Xenopus tropicalis: one gene and its partner. The protein of the gene in region 1 purifies or fractionates together with the protein of each later gene. This does not show direct contact. Links are inferred from orthologs where the notes say so. Each region holds a gene or a part of one and is shown on either strand. Other genes may lie near its edges. The genes, in order: stk38l and mob2.1.

Region 1 (4,594 bases):
TGAACAAGGCGGACCTGCAATTGGTCGATTTTTATTAAAAAATGTATCCGTGGCTTTCCCAGGATTCAGTAGGGAGGGGACGGTGGGGCAGAAGCACTATCTGCCCCTTCTGGTTCTGACTCTTGAAACAACACAATGAAAGTCGGATCTCCTCCATCATCTGGCTACTACTACATTGGTTCAGGAGTCAGAACAAGCAGTGCAGAGAACATAAACTACTGAATAGCAAATACATTTCCAATTTTTTTAATACCAATTTGGGCAATTTCCCCTTTAAAGATGTCGATTTAGAAAGTTGCTCTCGGCCGGATAGAGAGAGACACCCACCTCTCCGAAGGCTCCTCGGCCGATGACTTTCAAGGACTCAAAGTCTTCCAGGCCCAGCCGGGTCCTCTTCAGGCGCAGGAACTCAGTTTCCTTCCGGGCGTGTTGCGACCGGCGCATTTTTTTCTGTTGGGGCAATTGGTCAGATCGAGAGTTTCAATGAACTGATGTACAACTGGGACTGTCACCCACAGGCATCATGGGACCCTAAACTACTAACCAGGGGGGTCACCGGGGGCCCCCACCAACAAGTAAAATGTGGATTCAATGTCCCTCTCACTCTGCCACATATTCACCCTACCCATGCCAGTCCACAAAAGCCCCGCCCCTATTGTAAGCCCCCATTTTTCCAACTTTCCACGTCGGGACCCCCCTTCTACCATGACTGCAGAACCCCCTATACTACTTATACTTTTTTTTTTTTGGGGTGTTGCTAATCCGTTAACAGATTCTGCATTCTGCCACTAGGGGGAGCATTCAGTGAATCCAAACAGCTGAGGGACCTTGAGGCTAAACTCCTTGGAAGCCGGCAGTGCTGCAAAGGCCAAAAACGTTGGGGAAATCAGCCCTGGCTACTGCCTAGGTAAGTGCATTCTCTTAAAGGGGTAGGTTCATCTTTAAGTTAATTTTTAATATGTTTGCTTTTTTTTTTTTTACAGTTTTTGAATTATTTGTCTTTCTCTTCTACATCTTTCCTATTCACTTTAATTCACTCTAAATAATTAAAAATGATTTATCTTTCTATTCAGTCCCTCTCCTATACATATTTCAGTCTCCAGTTCAAACCCATGTCTGGTTGCTATGGTAAACAAGGCCCTAGCAACTAGATAGCTGCTGAAATACCAAACACATACACTGCTTCTTTATGTTCAATGAAGCATAAGACTTATATTATAATGTCCCTTTAGGGGTGGGCCCTTCACCCCCCCCCCGTCCGACCCTGCGTGCAACAATCGGGGGAGGGCATTTGGGGGGGCAAATATAGTCAAATAACACCAAATAAATTACCTCGTCGTCTCCTAAGCCCTCCTCTTCCATGGCGACCTCCAGCTTCTTCTGCCTGTAACACACACACACACATAATATCATCAGTCTGATCTAGTGACTGCTGCAGACTGTACTACTTTAAAAGTCGTCCTGCGCAGCATAAAGTCATCTGCAGCCTGTGGGTTTCCTGGCTGTTTGGTCTAAGGAATGACCCCAACAGTACTATAATAACCTGGGGGGGGGGCAAGTGAGCCTGCCCAACCCTCGGCCAATAAGAAGGAGTGCGGCCGAGAGCGAATCACAAGCTGAATCTCCACAGATTTGTGGATGTGAAACATCAATGCACAGGAATCAGCAGAGCAAAATAGCAGATCAGAAAGTTCCTCTGAGGTTACAGAGTCAGAACTGTTACTTATTGCAGCTCCTGGTTTTGGAATTTGAATCACTATCTGGTTGCTAGGCATACTAACCATGGTAACCAGTCAATGGTTCCAGTGATAGGATAAATAGGGGACCCAGTGCTGCTCCTGCCTTAACAAGGTTACAGATATATAGAAACATTGGGGTAACAGTCACCCCGCTATAGTTCCAGGGGTACCCAGGGCACAAATAAGCACTCACCCCAAATCCCCCCCTAACTGGCCTTCAGGCTGGGCCCCCTTAGCCCATAACAAGGTTACAGATATATAGAAACATTGGGGTAACAGTCACCCCGCTATAGTTCCAGGGGTACCCAGGGCACAAATAAGCACTCACCTCAAATCCCCCCTAACTGGCCTTCAGGCTGGGCCCCCTTAGCCCATAACAGGGTTACAGATATATAGAAACATTGGGGTAACAGTCACCCCGCTATAGTTCCAGGGGTACCCAGGGCACAAATAAGCACTCACCCCAAATCCCCCCCTAACTGGCCTTCAGGCTGGGCCCCCTTAGCCCATAACAAGGTTACAGATATATAGAAACATTGGGGTAACAGTCACCGCGCTATAGTTCCAGGGGTACCCAGGGCACAAATAAGCACTCACCCCAAATCCCCCCCTAACTGGCCTTCAGGCTGGGCCCCCTTAGCCCATAACAAGGTTACAGATATATAGAAACATTGGGGTAACAGTCACCCCGCTATAGTTCCAGGGGTACCCAGGGCACAAATAAGCACTCACCCCAAATCCCCCACTAACTGGCCTGAGCTAGATGCTGTGGGATCTCCCAATGGGCCAATCAGAGCGCAGTTGGATATCGGGGGGATGCTGGGTGCTGGTACCACAGTCCCACAGACAGTAAGAGAACCCCCTATAAAACATTTCCCATGATACCCAGAACCCCCCGAGCCCATAAGTGCCGGTACCGGGTCTCTCGCTCCTCGTGCTGCAGGATCAGGTTGCTATAGAAAGTCTCCAGAGTGAGTTTGGCCACGGTGACCCGCTCCCGGGTGTGGCTGCTCATTGGACAAGACGTCGGGTTCGTCGCTGTCATTGCCATAGTAACGGTGCCTGTGAGGAGACAGAAAGAGCCCAATGACCCTGGTGCTGCCTGGCCCGGTACCTACTACTACAAGCCCAGGGAAGAGCCTCCCAGCAGGGCCGGTGGGTGGGTAATGGGATGGGAGGGGCAGAGGTTACAAAGAATCCCTGTAAGTTTAATAGGGGAAAAAGGGGAAGGTGCCCCCCCCCACCCGGGACATTAGCGCCACAAGGAGCCAGTGTTACAGCTCAGGGTGGGGCCCAAATATCCCCCGGCTGCTGGTGATTGGCTGGGAGCAATTAGTGCAAACCTCGTGCTACGTGCGCTCTGAGCCTCACTCACCTGCACCCCTGTCTGGCACTCACTGAGCAGCACTCACTCACCCACTGAGCCTCACTCACCTGCACCCCTGTCTGGCACTCACTGAGCAGCACTCACTCACCCACTGAGCCTCACTCACCTGCACCCCTGTCTGGCACTCACTGAGCAGCACTCACTCACCCACTGAGCCTCACTCACCTGCACCCCTGTCTGGCACTCACTGAGCAGCACTCACTCACCCACTGAGCCTCACTCACCCACCCACTGAGCCTCACTCACCTGCACCCCTGTCTGGCACTCACTGAGCAGCACTCACTCACCCACTGAGCCTCACTCACCTGCACCCCTGTCTGGCACTCACTCACCTGCACCCCTGTCTGGCACTCACTCGCCCACTGAGCAGCACTCACTCACCCACTGAGCCTCACTCACCTGCACCCCTGTCTGGCACTCACGCACTGAGCAGCACTCACTCTCTCACTGAGCAGCACTCACTCACTGAGCAGCACTCACTCACCCACTGAGCCTCACTCACCCACCCACTGAGCCTCACTCACCTGCACCCCTGTCTGGCACTCACTGAGCAGCACTCACTCTCTCACTGAGCAGCACTCACTCACCCACTGAGCCTCACTCACCCACCCACTGAGCCTCACTCACCTGCACCCCTGTCTGGCACTCACTGAGCAGCACTCACGCTCTCACTGAGCAGCACTCACTCTCTCACTGAGCAGCACTCACTCTCTCACTGAGCAGCACTCACTCTCTCACTGAGCAGCACTCACTCTCTCACTGAGCAGCACTCACTCTCTCACTGAGCAGCACTCACCCACCCACTGAGCAGCACTCACTCACCCACTAAGCAGCACTCACTCACCCACTAAGCAGCACTCACTCACCCACTAAGCAGCACTCACTCACCCACTAAGCAGCACTCACTCACCCACTAAGCAGCACTCACTCTCTCACTGAGCCTCACTCACCTGCACCCCTGTCTGGCACTCACTGAGCAGCACTCACTCGCCCACTGAGCAGCACTCACTCACCCACTGAGCCTCACTCATCTGCACCCCTGTCTGGCACTCACGCACTGAGCAGCACTCACTCTCTCACTGAGCAGCACTCACTCACTGAGCAGCACTCACTCACCCACTGAGCCTCACTCACCCACCCACTGAGCCTCACTCACCTGCACCCCTGTCTGGCACTCACTGAGCAGCACTCACTCTCTCACTGAGCAGCACTCACTCTCCCACTGAGCAGCACTCACCCACCCACTGAGCAGCACTCACCCACCCACTGAGCAGCACTCACCCACCCACTGAGCAGCACTCACCCACCCACTGAGCAGCACTCACCCACCCACTGAGCAGCACTCACCCACCCACTGAGCAGCACTCACCCACCCACTGAGCAGCACTCACCCGCCCACTGAGCAGCACTCACTCGCCCACTAAGCAGCACTCACTCGCCCACTAAGCAGCACTCACTCGCCCACTAA
Region 2 (3,804 bases), on another chromosome or scaffold:
AATATCGGTTGCTATGGGTTACACTACTGGGTAGTGTGACTACCTTCCTCTTACAATGTTATTAGGGGGCATATATTCACATAATACCCCTGTATAGTGCACATTTGTCACCACTGTACAGTTCAAGGTCCCTACGTGAATCCTGTGCATCCTATGAATCTATGTTGGGAGGGGGCACAGTGAGATGCTAGACAACATGCAAAGGCACAATGTATCGGAAGAGGACGTTGCACTTTAAGGGGTCCGAAAGGACAATGGACAGGCAGGGGGCATGATACAAAAGTCATCTTAGAGTTTATTAAAGTGACAGTGACAATGATAAATGTGGCACTATCACTTTAACCCTCTACGATGAGCTGCAAGGGGGCGGGGGGGGTAGAACAATTAGCGGCTGTGCATAAAATGCCCCATGTCGACTCCAATGGAAAACTCCGTCCACATCGTCTAATAGAATCTGTTTTATTATTAATATTATCATTATTTAACAGATAAACTAAAAGAAGCCAACAGTATTTATCCACCCCAATGAGGGGCGAGCATCCTGCTTTCCCCCATCCCCATGGAGTCGGGGAGAGAAGTTGTTGCCCAAGGATGGGGCGGGCGCGGGAGAGCGGATCCAATTCCGGAGCAAGAGGCCACACAAGGTGCCAGGAAGGAGCCTCGTACACTTCCAGCCCTGGCTGCTCTCCGCCCAATCATCCGACTCAGGAGCCTCAGACATTTCTTGGAAAACCACAGCAAAATAAAATAGAAGATGCAAATCTTTCCTGGGGGATAAGAGAATGAAGCCGGACACGGCATTGCCACCCATGATGAGAGGGGGAACGAAAGAAAAGACGGGAGGGAGGGAGATGAGAAAGAAACAAAAACAAGGAGGGGGAGGGGAGAAAGAGACAGACGCAAACACAAAATAAAAATAAGGTGATACTCGGTGCAACTTTCTGCTAAAGATAAGAGCGAGGTTTGCTCCTCCCTCAGGCCGGGGTATAACAGCCAGTGCTCCCTTCCTACACCCCCAAGGCTGGCAGCGCAGGTCCTGAACCCCCTCCTCCCCTGTGCTGTAAGCCAGGAGGTAAGCCAGCTCTCGGTAGGGGGTGGGGCACGCTGGGAAGGGGCAGTGGTGGGACAGGAATAAGGACATTAAGGGGGGGACTCATCTCTCCTTCACGTGGTTCTGTGCCTCCCCCGTAGCTCCCACAGCCTCCCTGTTTTCCTCCGAGAAAAGGACTTCCGACAGGTCGTCCAGTATGGAGGTCTCCTTGGGGTCCAGTAGGCTGAACTCCCGCACGAATAGGAGAAAGTGGATAAAGAGAGTGTTTAAGTGTCCGTGCAGCTCCAGGGCTGTGATTTCCTTGAAATGCGCAGAGTAGATGTGAGCCAGAACGTGGAATAGGTATCGGCAGATCTTCTTAATCAGCGACTCAAATGAACTAGGGAATTCCCTGCCTGCGAGAGGGAAATAGCACGTAAATCCGCCATCCCGAATATCAGCCAATCAGAGCAATGATGGGTGCCATAGGCCCATTCAAATCAACAGGGTGTCCAGTCTGGTTACTGCTCTTATATCTCTGGGTCAGTCAGTGGCAGCTGCCATGGCAACCAACAAGCACCATGTACCCATGCCAATGACTTACCAGTCCTACTGCCTCCCAAGGAAATGTATAGGAAACCTGTGTGTCCTACTCCTAATAACCCTGAACCCAAAATGAAAGGGGAAACAAACCCTCTTACTCACCGTATTTGGTGGGAAACACATCCTCATCCGTCACCAGCTTCTGTACAGAGCTCATGACGAAATCAATGTACTGTGGGGCTGTGCACTTTAACTTCTTACCCCGCTCGTCATACCAGTAGTACTGTCTGTAATGGGAGAAAGCACAGGGAAAGGGTGTTATACTGGGGGGCAGATATCCATATACAGCAGGGTAAGGGGAGAGTAGGGCTACCCCAAAAGGAACAAGGAGGCGGCCTGAGTAGGGTGGGCAGGAGGAAGGTGCCGCCAGGGGCAGAATACAGAGCCCGGCCGCCAGGGGCAGAATACAGAGCCCGGCCGCCAGGGGCAGAATACAGTGCCCGGCCGCCAGGGGCAGAATACAGTGCCCGGCCGCCAGGGGCAGAATACAGTGCCCGGCCGCCAGGGGCAGACTACAGTGCCCGGCCGCCAGGGGCAGTCTACAGTGCCCGGCCGCCAGGGGCAGTCTACAGTGCCCGGCCGCCAGGGGCAGACTACAGTGCCCGGCCGCCAGGGGCAGACTACAGTGCCCGGCCGCCAGGGGCAGACTACAGTGCCCGGCCGCCAGGGGCAGACTACAGAGCCCGGCCGCCAGGGGCAGACTACAGAGCCCGGCCGCCAGGGGCAGAATACAGAGCCCGGCCGCCAGGGGCAGAATACAGTGCCCGGCCGCCAGGGGCAGAATACAGTGCCCGGCCGCCAGGGGCAGAATACAGTGCCCGGCCGCCAGGGGCAGAATACAGTGCCCGGCCGCCAGGGGCAGGCAGGTTGGTTATGAGTAGTACATGTAGCAGGATACACCGGAGGGATGTTGCTCACTAAAGCCTTTGTCGGCACACAGGACAGATGAATTCAGTCAAGTGCAACATTTTGGGCAGATGCCCCCTCAACAAGTGTAGTGGTGATCCCCCTGAAAAGCTGCATTTAACTATAAATCACGCAAGGGCTTCGCCACTGCCCTGTGAGACGGAGGTGGCCATTAAGGTGGGTGTCGAATCCTCCATTACTGAGGGTCAGGCCTACGATCCTAGGGGGCAACGGTGCAAAGAGGGGTTTGTTATTGCGAGGAAGAATAAACTCACGTATTGCAGGCAGCCATAGTCTGGCAGGTCTCCCCCGTGCAGAATTCTGAGATGGTGCTGTACTGAAGGTTAATGTGGTTGAAGAAAGTTGTAACTGAAATACAGAGGGGAAAAGCAGGTCAGGTGGAAGAATAACACTAGGTGGCGCTAGTGCTGGAGTACTAAGGGCCACAAGGCTGGGACCCCTCAATTATACACTAATGCATCCCCTTAAAGGAAAAGGAAAGGTAAAATCACCATGGGGTATTTCTGCAAGTACCACCGAATGATCATTTCTTGCTACTTATTTCTCGCGCTCACTCAGATGCACCCGGGCTGATGCAGTTTTCTGCTAACAGGAACACCCGCCGGGGGTATCAGGTAAGTGAATATAATCACTGGGGGGGGTGCCTAACATTTGGCAATCCCTCTTTTACACAGAAGGTGCAGAGCTCGGGGATACAATGAATGCCCACTAAGTACGAGCTCCAGCTGCGATTGCGCCCCCTGGTGAGCAATGTACAACCTGCACCTTCCATGGTGGGAGCCCCTGCCAGGGCAGCAGGGCACAAACACTGACAATGCTGGGCACAAAGCGGGGTAAGGATACAATATGGCGAAAAGAAACCTCTGCCCCTTGCCACCCTCTTCAATGAGCCCCTATAATACAATAATCTCTCGGGGAGCCACCCCAGCCTGCGCAAGGGGCACGCACCGTTACTGGCCAGCCACTCATTCAGGTCGATCTCCTGCGGCAGGGTCACCAGCTGCTTGAACTCCACGTCTGTGACTCGGACCCGGGTATATTCTGGTTCCAGGTACAACTTCTTCTCCTCCGACGCTGGCTTCTTCCCATTCGGCTTTCCCTTCGATTTCCTGCAGGAGATAAAACAGTTTGTGTGGGACTGTGTGGCGCAATGTGTTGTTGGGGTACTGAGGTGCATCTGGGAGCCGCGCATGCACCACACGGTTACCTAGCAGGTGTAACGGCCAATCAAGTCAGCCTGTGTT

The links.
Region 2: the proteins of stk38l (region 1) and mob2.1 purify together in Homo sapiens (affinity purification with mass spectrometry; 9 studies listed by BioGRID and IntAct, counting the BioPlex papers as one, with this or other methods). This does not show direct contact. The link is inferred for Xenopus tropicalis from reciprocal best matches to the Homo sapiens genes STK38L and MOB2.

Annotation. Positions count from the first base shown.
Region 1 is NC_030679.2:3,011,459-3,016,052, forward strand, and holds the start of stk38l (serine/threonine-protein kinase 38-like), read right to left. Parts: upstream 2,806-4,594; 5' UTR 2,791-2,805; coding exon 2,657-2,790; intron 1,385-2,656; coding exon 1,333-1,384; intron 451-1,332; coding exon 328-450; intron 15-327; coding exon 1-14. UniProt on the Homo sapiens protein: Involved in the regulation of structural processes in differentiating and mature neuronal cells.
Region 2 is NC_030680.2:21,630,458-21,634,261, forward strand, and holds the end of mob2.1 (MOB kinase activator 2), read right to left. Parts: intron 3,670-3,804; coding exon 3,509-3,669; intron 2,909-3,508; coding exon 2,815-2,908; intron 1,861-2,814; coding exon 1,736-1,860; intron 1,447-1,735; coding exon 1,154-1,446; 3' UTR 446-1,153; downstream 1-445. UniProt on the Homo sapiens protein: Stimulates the autophosphorylation and kinase activity of STK38 and STK38L.